Linked DNA regions of Notamacropus eugenii. The protein of the gene in region 2 purifies or fractionates together with the protein of the main gene of each other region. This does not show direct contact. Links are inferred from orthologs where the notes say so. Each region holds a gene or a part of one and is shown on either strand. Other genes may lie near its edges.

Evidence for each region.
Region 1: the proteins of PPP2R2A (region 2) and CDCA4 purify together in Homo sapiens (affinity purification with mass spectrometry; 4 studies listed by BioGRID and IntAct, with this or other methods). This does not show direct contact. The link is inferred for Notamacropus eugenii from reciprocal best matches to the Homo sapiens genes PPP2R2A and CDCA4.
Region 3: the proteins of PPP2R2A (region 2) and PPME1 purify together in Homo sapiens (affinity purification with mass spectrometry; 3 studies listed by BioGRID and IntAct, with this or other methods). This does not show direct contact. The link is inferred for Notamacropus eugenii from reciprocal best matches to the Homo sapiens genes PPP2R2A and PPME1.

What each region holds. Positions count from the first base shown.
Region 1 is NC_092872.1:335,157,932-335,168,276, forward strand, and holds the start of CDCA4 (cell division cycle-associated protein 4), read left to right. Parts: upstream 1-6,044; 5' UTR 6,045-6,219; intron 6,220-6,305; exon of another isoform or gene 6,306-6,711; 5' UTR 6,712-8,243; coding exon 8,244-8,402; intron 8,403-10,345. UniProt on the Homo sapiens protein: May participate in the regulation of cell proliferation through the E2F/RB pathway. May be involved in molecular regulation of hematopoietic stem cells and progenitor cell lineage commitment and differentiation.
Region 2 is NC_092872.1:744,061,656-744,071,755, forward strand, and holds the start of PPP2R2A (serine/threonine-protein phosphatase 2A 55 kDa regulatory subunit B alpha isoform), read left to right. Parts: upstream 1-6,220; 5' UTR 6,221-6,343; coding exon 6,344-6,380; exon of another isoform or gene 6,381-6,724; intron 6,725-6,971; coding exon 6,972-7,046; intron 7,047-10,100. UniProt on the Homo sapiens protein: Substrate-recognition subunit of protein phosphatase 2A (PP2A) that plays a key role in cell cycle by controlling mitosis entry and exit. Involved in chromosome clustering during late mitosis by mediating dephosphorylation of MKI67.
Region 3 is NC_092876.1:131,097,146-131,107,358, reverse strand, and holds the start of PPME1 (protein phosphatase methylesterase 1), read left to right. Parts: upstream 1-5,912; 5' UTR 5,913-6,526; coding exon 6,527-6,627; intron 6,628-6,870; exon of another isoform or gene 6,871-7,049; coding exon of another isoform or gene 7,050-7,111; exon of another isoform or gene 7,112-7,169; intron 7,170-10,213. Other genes in the region: C2CD3 (C2 domain-containing protein 3), read right to left, coding at 4,064-4,333, 5,711-5,765. UniProt on the Homo sapiens protein: Demethylates proteins that have been reversibly carboxymethylated. Demethylates PPP2CB (in vitro) and PPP2CA. Binding to PPP2CA displaces the manganese ion and inactivates the enzyme.

The DNA of each region.
Region 1 (10,345 bases), about 410 Mb from region 2:
AAAAAATTTATTGTTAGATAGATGTTCACACCTTCATCTATGGAAATCTAATGCCGCCTGAGACATCCTCAGTCAGAAATCCAGTCAAGCACTTGGAATCTTGGGGTAGGCCCACTTTTGAGAACACACACCCACCCACACACACACGCACACACACACACGCACACACACACACTCTTCATAGTATGCACTGATATCCTCTAACTGCTGCTATGTCATGATGACTTGAGGTTTTGTGGTAGGTAGTGAGAAAAGCCAGAATTCCATGAATAAGCCAAAGGGGTGATTCCTGCTTCTCAGGTTTCCTCTTCCTTCTGGCTTCAAAGAGCAAGAAAGAATTTCTGAGCTGTCAAGAGGGTTGGAGGGAGGTGGGCTATGCTTCCTCTCAACTGGCTACAGGTTATGAGCTCATGGCTTCCTGGTAAGCCTGTGGCTAGGACTGGGCTGTCTCCCCTTGTTTATTAATTTCTTTGGCACACTGACCTGTGAGGTCTCAAAAGGCAGCTGGAATCTTCCCTACCCAGGCAGCTGAGAAACAATCGGTACCACATTTGGTCAACATGTGGCCAAAGCAAATACACCAAAAATGAGAGCCATTTTGGAGGGAGAGGGACCACCAAAAGGAAACATTACATGCTCAATGGAGGTAAAATGTAATAAGTCAATCAATTAACAAGAAATTAACAAGAAACATTGCACTTCGTGATTAGTTTATGTTCAATGGAAGTAAAATGTAATGAGTCAACCAATTAACAAGTTAAGTACTTACTAGCTGCCAGGCATAGCCCAAGTGCTAGGGTAGAAGCACAAGGAAGGAAACCAATCCTACTTGCTAGGAGCTTACATTTTAATGAGGAAGACAGTGAATAATTAGAAGTCCTCTCAAAGAACAAGAACAAGAATTGGACCTGTGACTATGGTGGTACAGGGAACTCTCAGGTGAGGAAACTCCCTTCTGACATTCGAATGGCAGATCTGACTCCTTCTCCGCAACTTAGGGACACAGAGACAGGATGTGTCAGAGGTGAGACTTAAACTGGTCTTTCTAGCTTTGAGGCTAGTTGTCTATCCACTATACTATTGACAAGAAAAAGCACTGGCACTGAAGAAAGAGGGCCTCAGTTGAAATCCTACTTGTCTCTCGTACTTATTGCTTGTGTGACTTTGGGTAATAAGCAACATTCTTGGGTCTTAGTTCCTCATTTGAATTACATGGGCTTTTCACAAAGAAACTGAATGTGTCCTAACAAGGCTTAAACATTAGCCTCTCAAGTGACTGAACTAGTAGGGATAAGTTACTTAATTCTGTTCTAAACATTCTTTCATTCCTTATTGCTTAGCATTCCTTTTCCTGTGTGAGAAAAAAACTACCTGTTCCATATTTGATTCATGTTGAGTACTTGGGTACTTCCTTTAGTTCTCCCTTTTTTGGGAGAAGATCCTAGATTAGAGCCAAATTTTTGTTCCTCGGGAATCTGAGGTGAGGTTGAAAAGAAGCATTGAGGAGCCTAATTACTCTACTGAGAAAATCAGCAAGCCTGGAACAATGAATCCTGGGCAAACTTCAAGGTATTGACTCCAGATGCCAGATTCTATGGCCTCAGCCAAGCCGTACCTGGCAAGCACTGGTGCCAGAATAGAGAGGAACTACAAATTCTGAGATTCCCAGGGGAAATTCTGGGAGGTGGCAAATGAGCCAGACAAGTTTTTGTTTATTTTATATTTCAATAAGCCCCTCAAATTGAGGCTAGTTAAAGAAACCCAGGGCTCAGGCTACAGGTTTCACAAATGTTAGTTAAATCTGAATGTATAAGCACAGAATTCAAACACTCTACCTTTACTTGGGCCAAATATTGTTGGCAAGTTAACATTCAGACCAAATTTTGATCATCTAGATAAAATACTTGAAGTAATTGGTCCAAAAACACATAGATCTTAGAGACATAGGGACTGAAGAGTGGCAACTAGCTACACTGGGAACTGAACAGATCAAACTGGATTGTATTTGACATACTTTCAATGATCCCAAACTTCTCCAAGACTCAAGAGCCTATCTTTAAATTCCATTATTTTCTGGATTATACTATATGGCTACAAATCATGTACTGAGATGTAAAGATAAGAGATATTTCACACAATCATGATATGAGGAAACCCCATCACTAAAGGTAGGTTTAAGAAGCAGAGAATTTGCAGCTTCCCTTTCAAATAGGATAATCAGTAAGTCATCCCAGCTGCAGTAAATACCAGCTGGTCTATAGTTTTAAAATGTAAAAGAATAATTTGCATATCATACAAATGATGTCCCCTCCTACCTTACAGGAAAATCTCCAAATATAGCTATCTCTTTTTCCCATTAAGATTTTATCTCTATTAGAGCTTCACAAGACCCAAAAGAAAAACAGACTCACATTGTAGTTACAATATGTTTACACTAAAAAATGGACATACAGAGTAAAAAAAATTACACCTGGGGAAAAAAAGATTATTCAACTGTCACCATCATTTCCCTGCAATCTGCACACCAAGCTTTCTCCTCTCTATTTATCTCTCTACCAGGATCTTGGATTCTACTTCTAAATCTACCTGGGCTTGGATAAGCAAGTTTCTACCTTGTCTTGCCTCCAGATCCAAGCCTCTACCTCATAATGTGACACTAGTTTCATAACCTCCCCCATTCGCTTTCCATCTCCCATCTAATTACTGTCTTTTTCCTATCATAAGCATCCTGAGGCCTGGTACTGTCTTCATTGTTGGCATTTGTAACTCTAGTTTTTCACAATGTCCCAGAAACATAGAAAGCACCTAGTATATACTTAATATATAATACTTAGTATCAAATAATATGTGCTTAATAATACACAATATATAACATTCTTAATGAAACACTTGATCTCTCTCTCACTTTCTCTCACATGGGAGACTGCTTCTTCCCAAGTGGACTGCTTTGCAGCTTTTTATGTGCATTTATGGGGCAGCTAGGTGGTGCAGTGGATAGAGCACCAGTGCAGGAGTCAGAAGGACCTGAGTTCAAATCTTATCTCAGATACTTGACACTCACTAGCTGTGTGACCTTGGGCAAGTCACTTAACCCCAAATGCCTCATCCTGGTGAATATCTGGTCACTGGATTCAGATGGCTCTGGAGGAGAAGTGAGGCTGGTGACCTGCACAGCCCTCCCTCACTCAAAACAAAGTCAAGTGTCATTATTTCTTGGAATCTTGGGGTAGGCCCATTTCTGAGAACACACATGCATACACACACAGATACATTTATAATCTGCCTCCTCACCCTCCAAACTGAAGATACAGAAAAGAAAGAAAAAACCTTATTCTAAAGATACATGGTCCAGCAAAACAAATTCTCACCTTCACTATGTTCCAAAATGCATGTCGCATCTCCCTGGCAGGAGGTAAGTGCAATGTTTCATCTTCAGTCCTTTGGACTCATGGTTTATGATTGCAATGATCATAGTTCTAAAGCCTTCAAAGGTGTTTTTTTCTCTATCATGTTGTCATTATATAAATTGTTCTTAATTTTTGATCACTTCACTGTTCATCATTTCATAGAAGTCTTCCTAGTGTCTTCTGAAGTTGTCCATTTAAGATACAACATAGAGCATAATTCTTTAGTCATTCCCAAAAGGAGGGTACCGCGCCCATCCCAGTTCCCAGTTTTGAGTGACAAAAGAAAACAATTGTTACAAATATTTTTGGACATTTATATCCTTTTACTTTATCTTTGATCTATATCCTACATGACAGTGTAGACTAAGTAGTAATATAGCTGAATCAAAAGTCATAGGCTGCTGATTTTTGTAGTGTATTTCAAAATTCACAGTGCAAAGTGCACATGTTGTATGTTCAGAACCAAGGCTGCAGTGAAATTGAGAGATGCACTGGGGCAAATGCTGCCAGAAACACCTCAGATCCATTACTCGTTTGATTTTGAATTAATTTTTGGTCAGTGTGTTTAGAAACCTTTCACTGTTGCCAAATTTATGAAGACTCTCCCATTCATTTACTGGATCCCATAGGAGGTGTTGACCCACAGTTTAATAAGCGCTGCCCTAGAGGAAGATCGTACCAAGGAGATTGAGGAAAGGAGGAGAATGTAGCCAGGACAGTCTGGCAGAGAACTAAAGAACTGAGGAATTGTGAGACTGGAGGGCATTCATGGTGTGGGGTTAAAAAGCAGAGGTGAAATGACAACAGACCGTGATCAGATAAGGGAATGTCAGAGTTTATGATCATGAAAGTGGTGCCATTTGTGGGTGGAGAGCAAGACCAAGGGTATGATCATCTTTGTGTGTGGCTGAGGTGAGATGGAGGAGCACACTATGTGAAATAAGCTGAGGGACTAAAATGTCAGGATGTCTGAGGGAGCATCAAATATATATATTTTTAAAGTCTCCTAGGATCAATGCAGGAGAATGGGATGCAAGAAAGACCAAGTCAGGCACTGAGCTTACCGAAGAAACAAGGAGACTAGTCCAGGAGTTTGGCAAACAATTGCTAGGATTTTAATTAGGTAATGGATGTGCACTGAGTGAGTGATGAAGGAAGGGGAGCCATAGGTTTGAGGAAGGATGAAAAAGTGAACCTCGAAGAAGAGAAATGACTTACTAAGGGATGATGGCAGGGACAATAAGTATTCCAACTTCCCATCACCTTGACTGGTGAATCAGGAGGAAGGAGTGAAAAGTGCAACCATGGCTGAAAAGAAAGGCTGTGTGTCATCAGGAGGTAACCAGGTATCAATGACAGTGGGAAACTGGGATTAGTAGGAAAGGAAAAATTTTAAGATGGAAGCAAAGTTTGTTGCTGTGGAGCAGGCATTCCAGGTAGCACAGCAGAAGTGGTAAGGTAGATTTAAAGTTGGACACTGAGATGGGAAAGGATGAATTGAAGGGAATGAGAAATCAGGGATCAGGAAGGAGAAAGGAGTCTGAGAACCAGGGAGGAGATATTGGGGGGAAGTTTGTAATCATTGGATTTTAGATTTTCCTAAGGATTTGGCCTTGATGGTGTGATGTCCTCTCAAGAACTTAAGTAGTTCAGGTGAGGGTATAAGTAAGGGCTGGGAGCTAAAGACAATGGTACTCCCCTTCCCCTAGGGCATCAAAGGTGGAGATTTAATGGAACACTCTGGTTCTTGGTGCTCAATGGAAGGGTCTTTTCCCTCTTCCTGAAGGAGGCAGACCGAAGCAGATGGAATGGCATCCTTAGTGTTCAAGGCAACAATGTTCCTCCTTTTCCCAGTGAGCCCAGAGTAGGAGACTAGGATATTTTCTCACTTTACTCCCAGGCAGTAGACTGGTGCGTGATGGACAGGACAGGTCTGCAGACTGCCACACTGCAAGCAGCAGGCTAGATTAAAGAAAAGACAAGGGCCAAGGGCTGGAGGAGGTGTCACCTGCGTTGGAGAAAGGGGTGCACGAGTTCACAGAAAACCTTTACCATTTTTTGCAGAAATCCAGAGAAGGTTAGTAACTGTAACATGACTATATGCATTTTTTCGGGGAATCTCCAACACATCTGTGAGGGGTATTATCCCTCTTTTCCAGACGAGGCAACTGGCGCTCCGAAAAGCCCGGGGACCTGTCCGCCGTTTCACAGCTTCACGTCGTCCTAATGCCAGGTCCAGGATTCTATGCATCACGCCACGCTGCCACCCCAGCGCGGGCAGCGCGGCCACCGGTCCATTCAACCGCCGCAGCCGTCCGGCCCACGGCTTGGACAAGCCAGAGCAGGTCCCCGGAACCCCGCCAGGGGAGGAGCTGGGCAGCGCGTCCGCGCTGGGCAGCCCGAGCACACAGCCGCCTACCAGCCTTAAAACCAGGAGAGCGGGAACTACAACCCCCTCCGTACCCTCCCCCACGCCCTCGGGATTTGAAGTCAGGAGACTCCCCCGCCTCCCAACTCTGGGTTCTCAGCCAGTCAGAGGCCGCGGCAGCGCCGCGGTCACCATGGTTACTCTTTGTGGGAGGTGAATGGTGGAGGCGCTGGCGGGGACCGTCACTCAGCGCCAGGCTCCGCCCCCGGGATCCTCCCTCCCGGTCGCTCCTCCCCTTTCCTTCCTCGAGGGCCGCGCCTTGCTTTCCTTCCCCGGGCGCTGCGAGAAGTCGGAGCTGGAGCGGGTTTGGGAGCTCAAGCTGTGAGTAAACTGGGGCCCCCGAGTTGGAGCCCGGAGCCAGAACGGCGGCCGAGGCGGCTTCAGGTGAGCTTGGCCTCTGCGGGGGCAGGACGCTCCGCCCCGGGTTGGGTGTGTGTACGGGGTCGGGGGTTATGGGGCACCCCGGTGATGGGGGCTGCCGCCACTGGAGGGGGCGGAGGCCGGTCCGGGAAATCAAAATGGCTCCCGCGGCTCGGCTCCCCCTCCCCCCGCGGCCTCCTCCTGCCCTTCCCCTCCCCCCTCTCTCTTCTCCCCTTTCCCTTCCTGGGCTTCTTAGGCCCTGAACCCGGGGCGGGAAGCCCCGGCGCCTCCGCCTGGCCTTTGTGTGTGGCCGAGCCCCGAGCCGCCGGCCTTGGCGGCACAAAGACGCCCGCTCCGGCCCGGGTCCTGCGGCCCGCGCTCGGCCCCCGCCTTTCCCGCCCGCTCCCGCGCTGTGCTCGCTCCTCCCGGGCCCCGGGGGCCGAGGCGCCTGCCGCGGACCGGCTCTTTCCTAGCTAATCCCCCTCTTTCTTTTTTTCTTTTCCTACTTGCTCGTAGATCGATCTCTCTCATCTCGTCGCTCTTTGCCATCCCTCTTTCTTGCCCCCTCCCCTATATATATGTGCGTGTAGCCCACCTAGCCCAGCCGAGAAGGCCCCTCCTCGTAGCCGAGGCGCACGGCGGCGCCACTTTCAAATGGATCCCCGGGGCCGCCTCCGCGGCCGAACCAACTTCCCGCTGTGGAGGAGGAAGCGTACTTTGAGTAATGGAAAGTCACTTCTACCAACCATTGTAACTCCATCCAGAGCCGCTGGTGACGTCTTAAATCGCTAGTGCCAAGGTCGAGTTGGTTTATTAGCGTTGCGAGATTTCTTCCCAAAATGCAACGAATGACTCGTGGAAATACGTGATTGAGGGGAGTGGGGTGGGGAGATGTGGAGGGGTGATGATGGTGGTGGTGGTGGTGGTGGAGGTGGAGGGAGAGGGTGGTGGTTGTGGATGGAGGGTGGTGGTGGTGAGAGTGCCTAAGGTGATTGGTTTTCTTTCATCTGTTGACCCTTTCCAGGTTCCCCAAACCCTTTTTGACTTCTCAGCAATAATCGTAATAGCTGGCATTTATAGCAGGCTTTAAAGTTTGCAAAGAAGGAAAGGTTTTGAAGTGTTAAAAAAGAAAAGTTATATTGGATGTTGCTAATCTCACATTCTAGGTGCCACAGGCAAAATCCTGGTATATTTCATCATTCTGTCAGTCCTTCAATGAATTTTATTAATTGGCACAGGAGTTTTTAGCCTTTATTTGGTCAATGAAAGGTATTGTATCATTTCTTGTGAAGTCAAGATAATACTTTGAAAAAAAAAAAAACAACCTTTTTGTTCCTCACAGCAGCTTTCTGTGAGTAAAGGAGGTGCTGCCACTGGGAAGCTGAAACACTTGGCCTATTGACTCAGATGGGCTTGGGGAAAAAGAAATTATCAAATCGGGACCAGAAATGGGAAGGCTGCTTCTAGGATAAGATGGTAGTTTTATTCATAACTCTCTAATACTCAGACCCTGCTGAAATTGACAGTGAAACCCACCAATCCTAAAAATAGCTTATTTGATGGTTAATTGGGGACCTATATGGACTATATTACACAACTGACTTGGATTTTAAACACTGACTTGTATATGTCATCCTACCAATCCTTCTATTCATCAAAAAAATGCCATTATGTAAGTTTTCTTCCTTGAATTCCTTGCAGAGAAAGAAATGGGTAATGTTTGCGGTGGGAAACTTGAATTTCATCTTAGCAGCACTTAGCAAAACCTCACATGGTGTGGACTGTTGCCTCTTTATTTTAGCCACTCTTTTTTAAAAGTATAAGTGATAAAACATCTTAAATTTATGGAGAATGATGATCAACCATGAAACATTTTAGTAAAAGGCGTGGCTTGCTTTCAGATGGTGACATGGTGAGTGTTCAGTTTGAGTGTTTTTAAATTTTGCTTTAAAAAAAAAAGAATTAATTACTTGAAATTTTATGGAACAGTTCTCCTTCCCCATCCTACAGTAGGAAGCAATTGCACTGTTACTATTGTGTTAGTATATATGTGGAAGTACAGATTCCACCATGAGTGGTTGAAAAATCTAGTGCTTGTACCTACTACTTCCCTTTCAGTCTTGTTTAAGCTGACCAGTCAAATGGAGACTGACGACAGGGAGGGAAATAGGATGTGGGAAGAGGACAGTTCTCACAAACATTTACTGGTAAGTAAACTTTATCTTTATTGGTCTCCACTTGCCTTGTCCTACTGTAGAAACATGTAGAAAGAGTAATTAGTGAGAGTAGGAAATTTTCCAGAAAATGGCAGTAAGGTAAATTTTCCCACTGCTTTTCTGACTAAAATGAAAGACTTAAAGGAGAAATCATCAGTCTATTGTAGTGTGTCCCAGAAAAGTATTAGACCAAAAAGAAGTTTTCTGAGTGTCACAACCAGTAGATGGATAGGTTTTTCTTTTTCTGGGAAAGTTAGACTAGTGGGAATAAATTACCATACTTTAAAAACAGGTGTGGAAACTCCCAACACCAATAGAGTCAGTAGCTTCTTTTCAATTTTAAAGTCTCGGAAAGTTCTGTAGGGCACTGAGATGTTAAGTGATTTCCTCAGAATTATACGGTCAATATGTGTCAAACAGAGGTGGAACCCTGAGTCTTAGCTTTAAAGCCCATAGTTCCTCTATACCATTGTGCCGCATTGCCCCTCAGAGGTTAAAAAAAATTTTTTTATATTAGCTATATTTTTTTGTTTTATAATTTGTTTTGCTGACAGTTACTATCAACATTACTTTTAAGATGTAGCACTGAAATCAACATTTATTTACATGATCTTATATTTAGAGAAAAACTAGAAGCCTCTAGTGTCACATGTGGGAGAAGCTGGGGGGATTAATTCAGTTGCTGTGATTTTTCTTATTTTGATAAAAGAGTGGTAAGTTTTGTCATTTTCCAGATAATATTGCATTTGCCTCAACTTTCAGTAAAAATATGCTTATTAAGTGGGTTCTATTTCAACCTTTATCCTATTAAATGAGTAAATGAATTTTCATTTCTTGGTAAGTAACCAGAGTGGTTGGATCTTTTAAGACTCTATTATGATTTACTTGCAAAATTCAAGTTCAGAAATCAGATACTGGTGTTTCAGTAGGTCAACCATCATTAGTATAGGTAATCCAAAAGCTAGTAGCTTTTGATTTGGGAGTATTTTAAGTCATGTTTTATTTAGGGAAAAAAAAAAAAGCCTTAATTCCTGATATCAATTGATAGACAACCTATAGCTATGGATCAACATCCCACAAGTGGCTAACTCACCTTTTTTATGGCTAGTGATTGTTGCTTGGATTCTACCTCTGGAGTAGATTTTTGAGAATAAAATGCCACTTAAATAATATTAATATGAGATAATAATTGTAAAATGCTTGGACATAGCGTCTAGCACATAGTTAGTGCTATAAAATAAGCATTAGCTATTGCTGTAAACAAATAAGACATAGCCCCTTCGTGGAGTTTAGGTAGAATGTGATATAGAGTATTATGGATTCAAAGCAAATAATGTAAGATTTTTTCACTTCTCTATGTACATCCCTTTTTAATCATGTAATCAGCTGCTAGTCTTCATGCTGCTTTTCCCCTCTCCCCTCTTCAGTACCCTACCCAGGCCTGCCCTAGCTTCCCCAAGTAATCCTTGCTACAAAGATACAAACTTCAACCCCCAAAACAATTCTTATTTTTGTAAGTTTCTAAGTTTTCTCAGGTAAGTATTAGGAAAGAGTCTGAACTAAGACATAGTAAAGTGTGAATGAAAAATCCTCAACCACCCCATCAATACCACATCTTCATTTATTAAAAAGACTGCTCCAACTGATAGAATTTCAGACAGTGACAAGGTGTAAAGAAAAATTCGGGAAGTATATGAGGAACTAATTACCAGACTTTATAAATGATATATACATTGGATCACCTAGTACATATCTCTATTTTTTTATATGACCTTTGGATGCATACATAGATGTTGAATGTATATTATACAGTATATATGGATTTTGGGTTCATAATAGTATATAGGTACTTGGAACTATCTGATAGTGTTTTTTGTTTGTTTTTAGTAGACTTAAAATACAGTTCCATATTTCATTTTTAGTGCACAAATATG
Region 2 (10,100 bases):
TGCATGAGCCCCAACCTGTGTGCTTCCTATTAACCAGCAGACTTAATTAGCTTATGTTGTTCATTCATTTCAATCATGTATGTCTTCGTGAAGCCATTTTGGGGTTTTCTTGACAGACACTGAAGTAGTTTTCCATTTCCTTCTCCATTTCATTTTACAGATGAGGAAAGTGAGGCAAATAGGGTTAAGTGTTTAAGTTGCTCAGGGTGATACAGCTAGTAAGTGTCTGAAATTGAATTTGTACTTATGAAGATGAATCTTCTTGATTTTTAGTTTTTAGCAAAGGTATTTATTCAGATAAGAACCATTAGTTAAAAAACACTTCCCCCCACCCCAGCCTGGGGAACACTGTTCCACAAATACTCACAAGATCATGGCAAGACTGACAGAGGTGAGAAGATACCTGTGTGGTGATCCAGTACTTTATGTTCTAGACATACTTTCTTGAGTCCATAGAAGCATTCTTTTCAGATGGAAGGGGTAATACTTCTTGAAACTATCTTTCTTTGTATGAAGATTGCTTCTGGCTAGATATATTGTTTTCTCTTAGTCCAACTTCTCCAGTCTTAGCTACATGTACTATCTGCTCCTGTCTCAATTTCTCCAATGAAACTCTTTCCTCTTCCCAGCTGGAACTATTCCCTGTCAAGGACTTGGCTGGGATCCTCCAGACTGGAACTCTTCTACCACTAGTTCATAGTTTAGCTGGACTCCATCTTCTCAAAAGGTCACAAGATGTTTTCTATGTGGCCTCATATTCCTTTCCTCCAATGGCCCAAACTCTACAATCCCCTCAAATTTATTAAGTGTAGTTTGCAATTGGTTTACTTTTTGAACATTCAGGTAAGATGACTGGGCTTTTTGTGATTATGTTAATTGTTGCAGGAATGGAACCCAATCCTTAACACAAAGGAAAAAAACAAAACAGTTGCCTGCCCTCAAGAAGCTTGCTTTCTATCCAGGGTCAGTGTAAACGTAGGAACAAAGAGAAGATTATTTGAAGTAAATACAAAGTAACAAGAGTTTTCTTTTTTTTTTGGAAGGGGGAAAGGGTAAGAGGGCCATTAGAAGTTGGGAATGGAACAGGAAAAACCTCAGATAAGAGAGGGTACAAAATCTTAGATTCAAACTAAAAATTAATTTCTTGTAGGAAAGGGATAGTTGGTGGTGGGTGATGGGCTGGGTGCAATCAGGAAATAGTTATATTTTGTTTACCCTAGAGATAGTATGAGTAGAGAACATTGAATATAGTTGAAGGGGCACTGGTGACAAACACATAGATTAAGAATACAGCTCATCTATAAAATGGGGAGAGTCTCCACCCTGTCTACCTCCTTCAACTGTTAGAACCAAATGTGATGATGACCACTATGTCATTGGAAAACACTGTGAGTCATTTTTTAGGACAGGACTGTTCTGTCTCTGAAATCTGGTTATGATCCATTATGAGTGGAGACTGGATTTGAAATAAACACCCAAGACTGAGGTTAATTGAAAAGAAAAATAAATGGATAGGAAGAGATCCTGGGAAACATTATGAGCAGAGCCAGCCAGCACAGGAACATCATAAATGGAATACCCAGGGGTACAAGGGGCTTTTCATTATTTTTTTCTGGTGCTGAATCTGCAGACAACTTAGTTTGGCTTTTCTTTCTTTCTTTCTTTTTCAGGTGAGAAGTGTTATTGCAGAAGTAGGGGAAAAAATAACCCAGCTTAAGGTGCGATTCTGCAGCTGTGCAGACTCCAGGCATTTTTTTTAACTGTTTAAAATTAGGATGAGTGAGCTCTAGAATGAAGAAGGAAGTGACGAGGAGAAGGCCGGAGCAAAGCTCGGAAGGAGGTGTAGAAGGGAGTTCAGGTGAGGGAGGGGATTATCTAATTTCTCCTAGACTTGTGTTGTAGTGGGATAGTCTGAAGCAGAAGTGCCAAACTGAAAGCCAGCTCTGCAAACACCCCCTCACCACACCCATGGGTAGGCGGCTCAAACTTCCTTATTTCTGGCCCCAGATGCCTAGTGCCTTATCCACTGGGCTATGAATGTCTTCTGAAGGTCTGATTTTCCCAGTTCTGACACAGAAGTTATTCCATATCCCTAGAGTGAGGAAATTCACCCAAATGCTCAATCACCCTCATTCTTGGCTGATTTCTTTGCCTGATTCTCTGTTTGTGACCTCTCTCTCTCTCTCTTTCTCTCTTCCCCCTTCCCCCTTCCCCCCTAGTCTGTCTCTCTCCCCTACCCTCTCTGTCTCTTCCCCATCCCCCTGTCTCCTCTTTCCCTCTGTCTCCATTTCTCCTCTCTTCCTGGGGAGCTGTGCTTGGAGTTCCAGGCACTGAGGGTTTTTGCACCACGATCCATGCTAAGTTGGAACCAACCTTGGAGGCAGCTCTTTTCTGGGCCTCTGACCTTTTACCCTCTGGTCAGCAGTGTCAGTCCAGCTCCCATCATTTCCTCCCTCTTCTAGGCTGGAACCCAGCCCCCACTTTCTAGGTGGCTGTCACAGATGCCGTTTTGTTTCTGTTTCAAAAAAAAAAAAAACAAAACAACTAATAGGAGGGACAGTAAGGTAGCCCTGAAGTCAGGAGGACCTGAGTTCAAATATGACCTCAGACACTTCCTATCAGTGTGACCCTGGGCATGTGACTTAACCCCAATTGCCTCAAAAACAAAAAATAAAAAGGTGACTACAACCTTGCTTAGTGTATTACTGGACAACTATATCAAGCTCAAATTCTACTGAAGGTGTACAACATACAAACAGGAAATTATATAGGTGTCCATCTGAAGAGGATTTTAGGGAGGGTAAGGCAAGGTTTCCCACAGGACTTGCTATCCCAGTTGCTCTGGTTCTAAATCCAATTTCTCCTTCCATAAAACCAGGCTCTGCCCCTCAGAGAACTTAGATTCTTTTCAGACATTAGCAGCACCCATGCCAGTCGCTACATCTAGCAGTCAGGATTATGGAATGATTTTAATTGAACATATCTCTCATTAGAATGGAACGTGGGCATTGTTTTGATTTTCTTTATGACCTAAGCATTTACTACTACTACTGCTACTGCTAATACTGCTGCTGCTGCTGCTACTACCACCACCACCACTGCTGCTGCTACCACCACCTCCACCTACTGCTACTACTACTACCACAGCTACTACTACACCTACTTTATACCAGGCACTTTTCAAAAGGTTTAGGAATATTACATCATTTCATCCTGACATTTTACCGATGAGGTAATAGCAAACAAAGGTTAAGTGACTTGCCCAGGGTCACACAGCTAGTAAGTGTCTCAGGCCCGATTTGGGAGGGAACGAGAGCCGTTCTTTCAGTTTTGTCTTACAAACCCTCCTTGAGGTCTAGGGCTTTTAATAGTAGGAGCTTGACAGGCTCCCAGATTTTAGAGCTGGAAGAGACCCCCTAATTCTGCAGAAGGGGGAATCGGGCTTGCAGGAGGATGAGTGACAGAGCTGGTATTCCAAGCCGGGCAGTCGTTTCCAGAACCTAGAGCTTGGAGGGACCTACGGGACCGTCTATTCCGAAGAGTTAAATTGGGCTCAGAGCGATGTGTCCGAGGAAACTTCAGATGTGAAGATGTCAGGCTAGGGGAGCTGGCCCTGGACTCAGGAAGACCCGGGTTCCGGTTCTGCCTCAGACACCTCCTTTGCGACCCTGGGCAAGTCATTGGACTCTCCCGGCTGCGTGGGTCCCCGGTGCTGGGAGCAGGGGTGGGGGTGGGGGGGTGGACAGCCAGCTGCCCCAGGCCTGGAACTGCCTGCGCTCCCTCCTCATCCTCACCTGGGGCCCGGATGGAAGTCCCAGCTAACCAGCCGCCCCCCGCAGGAAGCTCCCCCCACCCTCCTTCATGGCAGGGTCTTCGCTCCGTGGATCATCCCCAGTGCGTGCAATCTAGAGCCTGCCGCACGTTTGCGGGCCGTTTGCGAGGAGCTGCGTGCACGCGGAGTGCCCGAGGGCCTGGAAGCCTCTGGAGGGCAGGCCAACCCCCGCCCAGCTCCAGCCCGCACACCCGGCGCGGCTCGGAGCCACGCCTCTCCTCGCGAGCTGCAGCGTAGGCGGGGCAGGGGGCAGGGCTCCCGAAGGGGCGTGGCCGAGCGTGTGCGTGCGTCGGCGTCGCGAGGGGCGGTGAGGGGGAGCGCCGCACGCCGCCGGCCCCGCCTCTTCCCGCCCTCCGGGCCCCGCCCCCCAGTGACGTAAGCACCCAGGCCAGCCGGCGCCATTTTGAAAGTGGAGCCGCTCGCCGCCCGCCGCCGCCGCCGCCGCAGCCACCGGTGCCGCCGCCGGGGGGGAGAAGAAGAGCCGGGAAGCCCCGGAGCGCCGCCCCGCCCTCCCGTCCCGCCGCCCCCCGGCCCCGCCGCCCCCCGGCTCGCGCCCGCGCCCGCGCCCGCAGGGGCCCCCCGCGCCCGGGGAGGGCGGCGGCCTCGGCCCGGAGAGCCTGAGCAGCCCGGCGGGGCCTCCATCGCCCGCGCGCCATGGCAGGTGAGAGCGGGAGCGGGGCGCCCCGCGCCCCCCCTGGAGATCCCCCCGGGGGCGGGGCTCCCGCGGGCCCGACCGGCGCCGCCATCTCCGGGGCCCCGGCCCGAGGGGCCGTCCCCGCCCCTCCCCCACCCCCGCCCGGCCCGAGGGGAGGGGGAGGGGAGGAGAGAGGGGACCCCTTGGGGTGGCCTGCCCCTCCCCCGACCCCGAGCCGCGGCCCTGCCCGCGCCCGCCGCCCGGCGCGGAGGAAGAGGAAGAGCGGGAGCGGGACACGCGGGGACCCGGCCCGGAGGCACGAATGGGCGTGGGGGGCTGCTCGCCCGGCGCCCCCAGGTCCGCCCTCCCCCCGGCTCTCGGGATGGGGGGGCGCTCCTCGCACCTCTGCCTAGAGAGAGGGAGCCGAGGCACCTGAGGAGGTCCTGGGCCATTTTACAGAGGAGGAAACTGAGGCCCAGCCAGGGCCGCGAGCGTCGAGCGTGGGGGGCTTGCGGAGCCCCGGGAGGTCGCGGGCTCGGCCGACCTCGGGGACCTGCGGCCGGCAGGCTGGCCGGGAAGCGCGCCTTTGTAGCCCGGCACTCGGAGGTCACGCGTTCCTCCGGAGGTGCCCTCCCTCCGAGACGGTCCCCGCGTTGTCCGTGGTCTCCCGTGGATCCGCCGGGCCTCGTGGATGCCCGACCTGACCGCGGAGGCCGCGGAGTGGGGCGGCCCCAGAAGCTCGGAGCCCCGAAGGTGCAGAGGCTCCCGGGCGGAGGTCACGCTGCTCCAGCGCCTCTTGTGTTAGACCGAAGGAGGGGGAGGCCCGGCAAGGTCCCCTCTAAACGTGGGCCAGCCCCGGACTCGTGCCCCCGAGGGGCCCGGCCGGCCCGGCCTCCAGCCCCCGGGATTGTCAGGCCCAGAAAAGTCCCCGTCGAGATGAGCCCCCTGGTCTTGTAGATGAAGCAGTCCAAGCGTGGTGCCAAGGGTGGAAAACGAACCCAAACTTTCATCTTTGCTTGAAGGAAGGCCTGTGCCCGTGCCACTTGTGTCTCTGCCCCTCTCCCAGGGGTGGGCGTTTGGGGGGCTGGTTCATGGAGTTCAGTGGTTCTTGTGCTTATTAGTTGAGCAGTTCGCTGAGAGCCAGTGGCGGAAGAGAGAATCACAGTCTAAGAGCTGGAAAGGCAGAGTAGCCATTGATTCCAATCTGTACGAGCCTGTATTGGAAAAATGAGATTTTACCTACTGACATAGGAGGAAGAGGACTTGGTAGGTATGGGGAGCATCTTCTGTTAACGAAGAGTGGGAGTGCAGAGAGGAAAAAAAGAAAATACATTTTTTTCCCCCAGCAAATTTCCTGGGTCTGAAAGATTTCCGTCACTTAAGAGAATCAGGAATAGACCATTTAATTGTGTTACCCTTTCTCCTCCACAAGTTTTCTTCACTGTGCTTCCATCTATAGCAGTGTGAAAGACAGAAACATCACAGACTGAGCTAATTCTTTATCTCGAAATCCAGATGGATTTTTGCACTTCAGCTTGTATTTTCTATTTTTTAATGTGTTGGATTGAACTTGTGATTTTGCTAAAAAGCACGTTGCTTTTTGGCCTTGTTAATCTAGTAAAATTAAAACTGTTGCACAAGATGGTAAATTACATCTGTTGCTTGGCCCTTTGGATTCTGAGGGGTGGGGTGAAGGAAGAAAGAAACTTCCTTTTGACAGCCTCTTTAGCAGCATTCATTTCAATTACTTTTCCTGTATGTAATGAATGAGTGATTGGCTGGCAATGAAATGTAGAAAAATGGGTGGTGTTTTTGGGGGGAGGGGAAGGTGTTGGTAGCAAGGTTCAAATGAATCACCATCTTTCACAGAGCCAGAAATGTTCCTGAAGTTGTCACTTCGTGCAGTGTTTCATGGTAGTTTTAGTTTATTAACTGTAACACGGGATATTGTCTGCAGATTTAAAAAGAAAACCACTTTAAAAATGGTTTACTTTTTTGTATTGCTTTCTGATCTTTCTTAACTACATGTGATTAGCATCGTTTTTGGAGAGGAGGTGAAGATTAAAGAACAGTTTTAAGCAGAAGTGCAGTGTTAGTGATCAGCCAATGAGTTCATGCTCTTAAAAAAAACTTAATTCCAACATTAAAAAAAAACTTCGAAGACAGTTTTTTTAAGTGATGTACTTTCTCAAGGGTCCAAAGGCACAAAATTGGTCAAGAACTGTTTTAACAAACTAAGTCTCAATAACTTTTTCTTTGTAAGTAATGAGTTATGACTTTTTTTCTTGATCTTGAATCTAGATCTGATCACAGTAGCAGAAAAAATTCCTAATGATGTTCTACTACAACTTTCTCCAAGTTGGAGATTTAGGGGCACAGAGGTTCTCTGAGTGGGCAGCTGTCGCTAGTGGTGCTGTGCTGACCTTGGACACTAGCTCTCTGTTTGGGGTGGGGGAGTGAACAAAACTCAGACATGATGTTAATGGGGATTGTTTTTCCTTTTAGGAGCTGGAGGAGGAAATGATATTCAGTGGTGTTTTTCTCAGGTGAAAGGGGCAGTCGATGATGATGTAGCAGAAGGTAAGAATATTTTTTAACAATGGAAGTTGAATATAAACTAAGCTGGATATTCTTTTAAATTTTGATTCTGCAGAAATAGTTCTTGCAGATGATGGCTAGTAAAGCTGTTGGTTGTGTGAGAGCCTGGGCCAGCCTCAGGGGCTCTCTAGTTGGGGCTTGCTTGGAGGGCAGCTACCCAGAGCTCAAGGAAAACCTCTGACTCGGGCCATAAAAGCAGTCCTTTGCTCTCTATTCTGGGTGCTTTGTTTTCATCCTCCCACCCACCTGCCTTGTTAATTTAAGAAAATTCATGACTTAATGTTAAAATGAACAGTTCACACAGAACTGTAGACTTACAAAGACTTGGGAGCTCTTTGTTGTAAGTAAGCTTTTTGCTGCTTGATTTTCTTCGTGATACATTGTACTCATCTTGAAGGTTTTTTAGCTTAGACAAACAAGTGTGGAAACTGTACTTTTGAAGGTTGACTCTGTTTCATACATGTACCAGTAAAAGTTTTTTTTTCTGTAATTTTTTCTTTCTGTCATTAGAGGAAGTTTTAAATATTGCTGACTTTTTATTTGTTTTTGAAGCTAACTTTTCATATTAATGACCAACACAAGTTCTCAAAAGTAGACCTTTCAGATCCAAAGTTTTCGTTTGTCTCTGGAAAGTATGAAAGTATTTCTTTGTGTGTTATCAGAAGCTCTAATTTGATGCCTGTTTAATAGGATCTAGATGTTAGTTTTGCTACACATTTAAAATTTTTTTCTAATTAGAAATCTTATTTTTAATGAAGTGCAAGAAATTGGCAAGCCTTTTGTGTCTAGTGTGAATCATTTTCTCCTTCTCCTGTGTTCTCCCTTCACGTAAAAAGAGGGCATTAATGGACTTTCCTATATCCATATCTGCATGGTTTTTCCCAGGAGTTGTCACAGATTTGTGTTAAGCCAGCCCTGGAGCTTTTCCTCTCAAGTTGTACCAGTGGGGCATGCTTTAATGATGTGGCTGGCCAGGGTTAGGTGGAGTCCTGATCATGAAATGGATTTTTCTTTTCGGGAAGTCAGCTGGCATATATATTATTGGCACCAGGTTCATCTTAGAGTGCTTATGCTTCAAAGTGGGCTTTGCCTTCAGGGAAGCTTTTGTGGGAGAGGTGGCATTTGAAGTGGATCTTAGCAGCTTGAATGAAAGCCCTGAGCTAGGGAAGGGAAGGCTTGACCAGGAAACGTCCCTGCCTGGGAGTTGGGACTCTAAAAGGGGTGGGGTACTGTTCATTTGTGGAAGTCTTTCTGGAGCAGATTAAGGCATTAGACTATTTGGCAGGTAGTAGGGAGTTATTAGAGAGGTTTGATCTTCACAAGGAAGGCCTGTTGGAAGGGGGAGTGATGTGGGGTGGATGGGTCTATTATAATAGGTCGCACCTTTTAATAGCAGTCTGGTGTCTAAAATAAATGAATTCTCGATTTCATTTGAATTTAATCTGAGTATTACATGTGTTACGTATATAAAATATCTGTCTCTTAACCTTTAGATTGGGAGAACTGAGGACAAATGGATATTTAGAAAGCCATATCACAATATCTTGTTCTAATGCTTTATATTAAGATAAAATATGGTTTCCATTTTCCTGTTTTTCAGATGGATGCTATTTTATTTTGTGGGTGATTCTGTTTGCCAGGTTTTTGTTTTTTTTTCCCCTTCCTTAAATTAATATTATTCTTGCCTGCTGGACTTTTCATGCGAAACGATTTTGCCTCAGTTTCAGTCAACATTTTATTTTGAAAATAAAGCCGAATATCAGGCTTTTTGATGTATATGTTCTAAGGGACTGTGTTATTTGAAACGGTCATTTAGGTCTTGCTTGGGTGCTAACTCCTGTGTCAAAACAATTTGCCAGCAAAAGCAGCATCATTAAGCAAGGTCATGTTTTATATCTTTTGCTTCTTATATTGAAATTGGGTTCTAATTTTTTCTTACTCAACCTTCTGGGAATCGTGGGTTTGTTAGTAATATGTGGGGATGCCAGCTACTCGTTAGGGTTAAAATTGGGTTGATGCTGCATATGAGAAATTAAGAGGCTGTCTATTTTTGGTTCTGCACTTGCTGTGTAACCTTGGGGGAGTTTCCTCATGAATTAAATGAGGAGGTTGGAGTAGAAAATCTTTTCCACTGTCTAATACTAAATAATAATTCACATTTATGTAGGACTTTAAATTTGTACAAAAAACTAGATTTCCAAAACAATGTAAAGTAATAAAGCTTGCCTTTACTTTTCTGATAGACTTAGTGAATTAAGAGTCTCACGGTAATCTCATTTGTCACATATTTTCAAAGTGAAACCCACATACAGTTTGTGTCTTATCTAAGTCTGGGTATGTCCTCACCCTCTCATTGAACTTCTTTAGTCTCTTATTGAATTTTTTTCTGCAGAGTATTAGGGTGTGTTTTTTTTTTTTTTGAAAGGGGATAATATTTTTGCCAAGTCTCAAAACAAGTGATAATTGTGTACATAAATGCAGGAGGAAGAGTTCTTTGTTGATACACATAACCAATTACTGCTCATTGAAATAACAAGTTAAAATTTGTCACTCCCTGCTTAATGATCTCCACTGGCTCCCTATTACCACTATGTCTAAATCCAGATCTCACTGACGCCGTATCGTGTAGCTGGAATGCTCCCTCTCACCTCCTCTTCATAATAGCTTTCTTTTAAGCCTCAGCTCACATGTGACCTAGATAAAAGCTTTCCTCATTCCCCCCCCCCCCCACCTTGTATATATTTTATATAGTCTCACCATTTTCTAACCATGCTACCTTGTGGTGATGTGCCCTCCCTCTCACCCCGCCTTCAATTCCCCTTTATGTGATAGCTTCCCAAATTAGAATATAAACTCCTTGAGGGCAGATACCATCTTCTTTCTACTCGTATTTCTGTCTCCAGTTTTTAACATTGTTCCCAGGTAGTCAGAGAGCAAGCATTTATTAACGATCATATCTGTCGACTGTGTGCCAGACACAGTCAAAGAATCCCTAAACATTGGGATACAAAGCCAGGTAAAAACAATCCTTTCTCA
Region 3 (10,213 bases), on a different chromosome or scaffold from region 2:
GATCCCAAAACAAAAACTCCCAGGAACATTACAGACAAATTTCAGAGCTCCCAGGTCAAGGAGAAAATATTGCAAACAGTCAAAATGAAGCAATTCATATATCATGGAGCCACAGTGAGGATAACATGAGATTTGGCAATTTCTATATTAAAGGCTTGGAATACAATATTCCAGACGACAAAGGAGGTAGGATTACAACCAAGAATCACCCACTCAACAAAACTGAGTATAATCCTTCAGGGGAAAAACATGGACATTCAATAAAATTGAGGATTTTCAAGTATTCCTGATGAAAAATCCAGAACTGAATAGAAAAATCTGACTTTCACATAAAAGACTCAAAAGAGGTATAAAAAAATAAACAGGAAAAAGAAATCATAAGGGATTCAATAACGTTAAACTGTTTACATTCCTATATGAGAAAATGAAATATGAGAAAAACTCTCTAATTATTAGGGAAGTTAGAAGGAGTATGCAGAGGACATGGGTTTGAGTTACATATGATGGGATGATTATTTGAAAAAATAAAATTAAGAGGTGAGAAAGAAGATGTCCTGGGAGAAGGGTAAAGGGAGAGGCAGAATGGGGTAAATTATCGAACACAAAAGCAGCCTGAAAGAGATTTTAGAGTGAAGGAAGTGGGGACGGAAAGGAGGGAGAGGCTGGTAAAAAGGAGTGCAGATGAGAGAGGTAAAAGTCAAAAGCAAAACACTTTTGAGAATGGACCAGGTGAAAGGAGAGAGAGAGCAGGATAAACAGGAGGCAAATGGAATGGAGGGAAATAGTAATCGATATTGTGAAAAAAAATTTTTTACAGTGACTTTCTCTGATAAAGACCTCATTTCTCAAATACATAGAAAACTGAGCCAAATTTATAGAAATAAGAGCCACTCCTCAACTGACAAATGGTCAAAGGATATGAATAGGCAGTTTTCAAAGTAATCAGGTATTTATAGTTATATGAAAAAAATTTTCTAAATCACTACTGATTAGAGAAATGCAAATTGAAACAACTCTCAGCTACTACCACACACCTCTCAGGCTGGCTGCTATGACAAAAAAGGAAAATGATAAATGTTGAAAGGGATGTGGGAAAATTAAAACACTAATGTTCTGGTGATGAAGTATACTGATTTAACTACTATGGAGAGCAATTTGGAACTATGCCCAAAGGGTTATAATACCATGCATATTCCGTGACCTAGCAATATCACTATTAGGTCTGTATTCCAAAGAGATAAAAAACAAAAATATATACAAAAATATTTATAGCAGCTCTTACAGTGGTGGAAAAGAATTGGAAGTTGAAGGGATGTCCATCAGTTGGGGAATGGCTGAAGAAGTTGCCTTATGTGACTATAGTGGAATACTATTGTGCTATAACAAACGACCCGCAGTATGCTCTCAGAAAAACCTGCAAAGAACTGATGCAAAGTGAAATGAGCAAAACCAGGAGAACACTGTACACAGTAACAGCAATATTGTGAGATGATCTACTATGAACAACTTAGCTATTTTCAACAATACAATGACCTAAAATGATTTTGAAAATACGATGCAATGCACTGTCCATCTTCAGAGAAAGAGCTGGTAGATGCCTGAAAGCAGAATGAAAATAGTTTTTTTTACTTGCAGTCGGTTTTCTGGTCTATGTTTTCTTTCAAAGCATGACTTACAGGGAAATGTGTTTTGCATGATTGCACATGTATAACCTATGTCAGGTTGCTTGCTTTTTCAATAAAGGGTAAGAAGAGGGAGGAAGAGAATTTGGAACTCAAAATTTGAAAAGAGGAAGGTTGAAACTGTTTTTACATGTAATTGGACAAAAACCAAAAAATTAAATTGGAAAAAATAATCGAAGGTAATGCTAAATTTCAGTTAGAGATTAGTGAGAGACTAGGAATAGAAAGAAGAAACTTTGCTAATACCAAGTATACTATGTCTGTGGCATTGTTGATTTTACAGTGTAGTAATGCTGTCAAAAAAGAAAAAAAAGGAGTTTGGTATGACCTACTCTCAGACATGATAATCAATACATCCCTTTAAGTATCACACCTTTAAGCCTATAGTTTGAAGACTCCATCCTCCTCCCTTTTTTGAAAACCAGTACAATTGCCTTCCAGGTCTGCAGTACTGCTATTTTCCAAAAAATATTTTCAAAAAAATTTCTGGAAACAAAAGAAGATCAGGATGGACCCAAGAATAAAGTATTGGAAAAGAAATGCGTTTTATGATTACTTTCGTCCCCTGAGACAGTGTAGTCTAATGGACAGGAAGGTCTGGGTTCAAGTTACAAATTGGGCAGAAAGTAGCATCTCCAGACAAACCTCTTGGCACTACAGAAAACTCTCCAAGACAGTAGATCTCCCAAGAAAAGTGTTGACCTGCCTCAGCAAAACAAATAGCAGTAGTGCTACCACTGTTGCGCTGTAGTACTGGACGGCTGCCTACTATACTAATGAAATCACAAGTCAAGACCAAAAATAGGATATGAGTCCACAGAACATTATTTTCTCCCCTTCCTCAATGAAGCCACAAATAAGCAGCTCAGAAATCCCAGCCAGACCCTGCCTCCATATCCTCTTCTGTTTAACTTGCTCAGAGTGCAATGAGTCCAAGGCAATAGCCTTGGTGGGGAATGTGGGGAAACCCACTTTCTAACTCTTTCTCAATAGTTGCCAACTAGGGAATCCAGATGACTGATGCACAGCTCTAGTCTGAGGAAGGAAAGTTAAAATACTCTAAACCCAAAGTAATATCGATCCATTCAAGATGGAAATCCCTTATTAGAACACATCTTAGAGGTAAATTTTCTCATCTCTGTGATCTTAGGGTGGATCAGATAACCTCTGAAGTCCCTTCCTGCTCTAATACTCTACTATCCTATGATAACCTTCCACCTATAAGAATTTGTGTTCTTAGCCAACATTGTCATTTTACAGATGAGAAAACAGGTCCCCAGAGGACTTGCCCATAGTCATACAAATCCAGGGATAACATTTGCCAGTACAATAGGAATTAGCCAAACTATTGTTACTCCACCCAAAACACAGGAATTTCAGCACTTTCTGCCACTATAATCTTGTGTATAATCTGTGTAGGCCACAGATGGTGGGGGTGGCCTACACAGGTGGGGGAACCTGTGGCCTCCTAGGTCCTTAAGTGCAGCCCTTTTGACTAAATCCAAAATTCACAGAACAAAGCTCCTTAATAAAAGGATTTGTTCCATAAAACATAGACTCAGTCAAAAAGCTATACTCAAGGACCTAAGAAGGTCACATGTGGCCTTGAGGCCACAGGATCCCCACCCCTGGTATAGGCACATAACTGTGTCAGGGAAATATATAAGATAGGTTTCATAAACTTAAGTTAGGGACAAAATATACTCCAGATTTTAGGGGTGAGTTTCTCTCTACTCTTTCCCCAGCCCTCATATGGAGAATGCATTTGATTAAAATGCTTAACCTCAATGAAAAATACTTCATTGGATCTAGGAAAAGTACTCCATAATAGAACACATATCACAACTCCTCCACATTTTCATCTCATGCATGTCTTTCTTCAAATCCTTCCTCCATAAAGGATGTGCCCAATGGTTTAGAGGTCTTCTTGTAGACTTAACACTGTTTTATGCGTATCAATGCAGCACTCAGGCTATTCATTCTTATTCCTTACTCTCACCACATGATGAGACTTCCTCCTCCAGTCAGTCATGTCTTTCATGATTCTGTTTACACCGTTTCTGGCATAGCTTCAAAGACTGTGAATAGTATGTCGCAATCTATTTATAACTGTCATACATTCTTCCCTTGCCTCTTGGGCACAACAAAAAAAAGTCCTGTTTATAATACTTTTTTAAATAAACACTTAGGAAGTTCCTACTTAGTATAAAGTACTGTGGTAGGTACTTTGGGAGACAGAAGGTTTAGGTAAGCCAACTCTTATCTCATGAAAATTATATTCTAGTAAAGAGACATACATGTAAACAGAAAATAAGCAAATGTATAAAACAAACTGCCAGGGTGAACGACTAAGAGGGAAAGTTTGGATGAGATAAGCATACCTGTTAGATAAGAGGTAAACTGCTTTGGTCCACAACGAATAGGATAACGGGTTGTTGTTCTCACAGCTTTTTGTTCAATCAGGGAAGCATCCCTGGGACAAAATATTGTTCCATCGGATGTCTCCCCCCACCACCTCACTCGGATGAGAACAGGAGTTGGAGGCTTCATAACCATCCAGAGTATTTTATTAATGGTTAGTCTCAGAAAACATCGCAGCTGACCTTCAACCAGAGGTGGTAGACTCGTGGATGGTGAAATATCACTTAGACCTGTGTAAAAGGAAAGGAATGATAAATCAGAATTTGGAGTAGGTAAGCAAGTAAGACACTATGTAACAACTGGAGAACCTTTATTTCTGCCAGCAACTGCCCTAATACAGAAAAAAGAACACTGTATTTGAGAGTCAGAAGATCTGTGTTCAAGTATCAACTTCATCACTGGGGCAAGCCCCTGAATTTCCTCTTTGGCTTATTACCCATACAATCTAAGGGAGTTAGGTGAGATGATTTCCCAGGTTCCTTCCAGTATTAACATAGGAACAATGGTGGAAGTTCCAGAGAAGCAGATTTGGGTCCAATGTAAAAAAAAGGACAACAACAATAAATCTTTACGAAAATTAAAGCTGTTCCAAAGTGCACCAGGCTGCCCCACAAGGGTAGAAGTTTCTCATCCCTGGACACAGTTAAGTGAAAGTCAGATAATTACTTGTTGGGAATGCTGCAGGGGCGATTCCCATTCAGGTAGGTATGTCTGTTGGCTTAGAAAACCTCTGAAGCTTCCACCAACTCTGAAAAGTTGTGATTCTACAGAGGGCTTTATGGTACTAATCCTGGCAACTTCCAATTTAAATCTCTATTACTGAAATCCCTTCTCAGGATAACACTGTAGAGTCAAGAAGTTATTTTTACACTCTCTAGACTTTTCTGTGTCAAATTCAATAACCATTTATTAATTTTCTATTCTATGCTGGAGAAAAAAGACAAGTTCAAAGCAATCTTTGAGAAGCCATCTGCACAGATGAGTGACTTGTGAGGGGTAGAGTGGAGGTGACCAAACATTCCCTTGCAGACCCTCAAGACTGCTTCTCCCCACACCCTCCAACAGTCACGCTCTACAAGGTAAAGCTGTCTTTTGACTAGAATCCTTCTTTCTGACATCTCTGTAGGTTCGCATTTCTGGCTTTCTAAAGGAACTCCTTCCGGCCTTTTCTAGTTAACAGGGCATATACAGACGTGTCCATCAGACAACTCAGACTCAAAGAGCTGTCAGAAGGACAGGAATGACTGAACAGCCGTGAAGCCGGGCCCGGAGGCTGACTTTTCGGGCTTTTTCCCTCTTTACTCCCCTCGCCCCCGCCCCTTAAGGATGCCGTTCTCTCTCTCAAATTTCCTTAGGGGTGCCCCATTTCCCGCGTTTCCTGACCTGACCCGAGGGTCGGAGGCACCCCTCGTATCTGCCCAAGTTTGTCTTTCCCATCTTCCTCCCTCTCTGGGTCCCCCTTCTTCCCTGGGAGCCCCCGCGTCCCTTCCTTTCCTTCCAACCTCTCTTAGGCATCCCTCTGCACCCCTCCTCACGACCCGGGGTTCCACGTTCTCCCCGGGGCGGCCCCGCGTTGGGCGCCCTCCCCCCACCCCAGCCGGGGTTACCTTTCTTCTTGCGGCTGCTGCCGCCTCCAGCGGCCGGGCCCTTTCGCTGTTTCATGGCGAGGCGGTGCTTTCAGTCCTTGAGGCGCCGGCGCCGGAGCCGCTGACCCCCAACAGCCCCCTTGCCGCGTCCCCCTCCGCCAGGGCGGCTGGAGCGTCCCGCCAAGGCAGACGCAGCCGCTCCGCGCGCGCGTTCCCTCGCAACCGTCGCCGCCGCAGGGCCTCCTGGGAAACTCAGGGAAGCCACAGGCGGCCGTCTCTCTCTTACCAAAAGTCTTAGCTCTCGAGGTCGGGTAAGGAAGGCGAGTCAGGGCTGGTTCTTCCCAGAACTACAAAGCCCAGGATGCATTGCGACCCGCTCTCTTTATGGTAACGGGATCCGTACTCCGGTGGACACCGCCTCTCCTTCATCCCGGCTCACATGAGCTAATGCGCCGGCGTAGCACCGACGGTTCCCGGAGGACTCCATTGGCTACGCGGACCCCGCCCTCTCGCGTCGGGCTCGTGCGCCACTTTGCTACCCAGGCTCCTCCGCAGGAGATCGGTTGCGCACTTCCGGCCAGGTCGCTGAGGAGACGAGGGCCGAGGAGTGGCTAGGCTAGGCGACAAGGGGAGGGGTTTGGGCGCTAGTGGGCGGGAGGAGGTGCCGCCGGCGTCCAGAGGCTGTCTGAGGGCTACTGAGAGGCAAGCAAGCTGAGTCCTGCAGTCGCTTAGGCTTCCGTCTAAGTCGACTCGTCCCAGAGGCGACGCTCGGGCACGACACGGCCCGGGACGGGACACGCGGCGGCCTCGGCCTCCCTCCTGCTTTCCTCTCCTTTCATGTCGGCTTTAGAGAAGACCATGCACTTGGGCCGCCTGCCCTCCCGCCCCCCCCTGCCGGGCGGCGGGGGCGGCCAGAGCGGAGCCAAATTGCGCATGGGGTACGTGCCTCCCTTCGCTCCGCACCAGGGCTGGGCCCGAGTTGGGCCCCAAAAGAGAGCTAGGTCTCCTGGGATGAGGGGACGGTTGGGAGAGGAGGGCGACCCGAGGGGGCTGTAGGTGGGAGGGGTGGGTGAGAGAGACTGGGGGAGGGGCTACTCGTGGGGACTGGGGGGGGGTGACCCGAGGGGGCGTTGGGGAAGGGACGGGTGATGGGAGGCTCCTGTCCACGGAAGGGAAGGGGCGGGGTACGTGGGAATGGGGCGGGGGGAGGAGGGAAGCCGAACGAGGAGGGGAGGCCAGTGTTAACCGATGAGGGTGAGGGGCTCGGGGTGGGCCCGCGATGGGAAGCGAGCGGCGCCGGGGAAGAAGAGTTGGGAGCCCTGGACCAGAGTAACGAAGGAGACGTGTCGGAGAATGAAAAATGGCCATGGGAAGGTCTGAAAGGAACTTGACTCAAGTTAGAGTGCGGAGTGTGAATCTGAGGTCGGATCGGGAGGGGAGATGGCGCCGTAGTGATTGCGGGAGGAGCGGGCTTGGAAGGGTAGGTAGTGGTGGTTGGGGGGTGTGGACTCTACTAGGATAGAGTTTTGGAGAAGTGAACGAGAATAGAGTAGGTTAGGAACAAATGTTAAAAAAAAAAAATAGATGTTGAGGGCAGTGGGATACCTGATCTTGAAAATTTTTTTGGAATCATAAGACTTAAGGAAGAAAAGGTAATAAATTCTAGGAGGTTAAGGATGTGTGCTCACAATTGAACTAGTTGAGGAAAAGGGGTGGGTTAGGTATTACTAAAGAGGAATCTTGGCCTTTTCAGAATTAAAGAATTTTAGAAAGGGAAAGAAGTTTAGAGATTAATAACGATGCAGAAACTGTTATGGCCACTGTTTCTTAGGTGTTAATTTCTTATAACGACGTTTCAGACATGTGAGCTATTAAAGTTGATGTTTGGTTTATTTTTTCTTAAACTCTAGTGCTGAAATAAAAACTCAAAGGCAGACACTATTTCACCATAAGGATATTAAACATATTGAGCTTGCCACCAGTAACCAGTAATGACGTAAAGGTTAATAGATTGTATTAATATAATTATTGTTTTTTGTTACTAAAATTTTTTCCTACTTGGAAAAAAATTTCTACTCATTCTTTGAAGTCTTTGTGATTGTTTCTACCACTTCTCTTCGTCAACCTCCTATCCATCCCAGACCTTTTCTTTCTCTCTCATAAGACCTCTGGAGTGCATTTACCATTTATTTGTATCATGGTTGTATGTGTGCCATGTCTACCAGGCACATATCTCCCATAAGTTCTATGAAGGTAAAACAACCACATTGTATGTGGTATTGGTTCTCCTTCAGAATCTAGTATGACTTTTTATGTGTTGTAGGAACTTAAATGCTTATTGAATTTAATGTTTGGAAACCTTATTAGTATTGAGGGGCAGTAAAAGTGAGGGCAATAGATAAATAAAAAACAGCCAAATTTAGTTCATTTGGAATTCTGTTTTGCTTCTTTAGAGAGAAATATTAAAAGGTTCTACCTAATCTGATAAGGATTTTCAGAGATTCAAAGTTGAGAGTTCTATGAAAATTATTCTTGTCAGAAGAGATGTGCTAAAGAAACAAGAGTGCTAGACGTTGACTCAGGTGAGATCCAAGTTAGAATGCTGACTTCTGCTGTCTACAAGCATTTATTAAGCCCTTACTACGAGCTAAGCAGCGTGTTTAAACACTTGGGATAAAAAGGGCAAAAGCTATGTTCTTTCTCTCAACGAGCTCACATTCTTATGAGGAAAACAACTTGCAAATAACTCTGTGCATACAAGACATAATGTGTTAATAGAAGATAGTCTTAGAGGAAAGGCTTCTTGCAGAATATGGGATTGGAGCTGAGTCTTGAAGGAAGCCAGAGAAACTTTCACTGGTTTTATCCCTGGACAAATCATTTAAACCTCTCTGAAGTTCAGATTCTTTATCTGTAAAATGTGGATAATTCTTGAATCCTATCTAACAGACAAACTTTACATATCTGAAAGCACTGTATAAATGTGAGCTGCTAATTTATTCTTAGCCTGTTGTACTTCAGAATGTTATCACTGCTTTTTGAAATAAGAATTAGCTTTTTAGTAACTCCTGGCCATTGATTTCAGCAAGCAGAAACAGCACTATTATATTACTTGTACAGTCAGGAAAACAGAAATGGAAGTGTAATTTGCCCCAGGTCACAGATTGAGTTAGGAATAGAATCAAAGGCTTTGCTCCTACTTTTTCTATGGTTACCAATTACTTTAACTTCATTCCCAGTACCTTAGAACAAGATTGCTCTACCTAATGGCTTTAATGCTGTGATTTGTGTAGCCTAATCTTTTCAAATGGTGGTCAAACAAATAGAATAATCTTTCATGTACAAATTGTTCTATTAAATTAGCTGAAATGTTACTTTCTTGAGTCCTTGGTAATTTAATAACTGAACTCTATTGAATTAGACCTGTAAATACAGAAGGGTACATTGATAGGATATTTTGCAGGGAAGTTTATAACTCAATTACCAAAAAAAAAAAAAAAATTCTTGGTGTTAGCCTAGAAGTAATTTAAAGATTTTCCTTTTCTGGTTAAGGATAACTATAAAACTTTAGACCCAAAACAACAGCAAATACGATTATACAATGTGTCTGTTTTGTTCCATGGAATTGCTTTTTAGTAGTCTTTATACAATGTTTTCTTATCTTTATTGTCAGTGTTTGAGTGTTCAATTGGTATGTTATAATATATTAGATGTCCTGTATCCCACTCACCCCGCAAACACTTTTTGGCGTCCTGAAGGGCTGAAGCCCCCTAGCAGTTGCCTCTGTACTAAAGCCACACGCTTGAATAACCAAGATAATGCCTAAGGTGCACCTCTTATTCACTTCTTTTAAAAAAAAAATTAAAAATAATTCTTAGCAAGCCTAGTTATTTGATGATAGCAAAATTGGACAGTAGGCATGTATTATAGAGGCAAGCACCATGACAGCTCATGGTGTAAAATGGAAAAAAGAGACAGAAAAACTAAAGTATACACAAGACTATACTACAAAATTATCTGATGATGGATGTTCACATGATAACACAGAATCATCAAGAATGGTTTGAATTATACCCAATAACACTTTTTAAGAAAACAGAAAATATGTGATAAATTTGTAAAGATTTCTTCACAAAATACTTAAGGAACAAACTTGAGCCACCTGGTTGTTCTAATTATCTGGAGCATACGCTAATGTTTTTCCCAAGTTGTGTATAAATGCAACATTGCTTTCTTCTACAAGGGTGAGGGGAATTAAAATGGAATTTCATAGTGACTTTGATGATTAGCCTGGTGCCCAAAGAACAAGATCTCTTAGGTCAGAAGAAAAACTAGTTGAGTATTAGATGTTTATTACTGAATAAATTTGAAGTTCAAGGCTTTTCTTGGCAAGTCTATATTAGAGATTGATATTTTGTACATGATTCTTATAATTATTACAAAAATAATTTTCACTAATATTCCATGAGGTATTATTTTGTTAATAAGAGCAGTTTATGGTTATTTGAGTACATGTATTAGTGC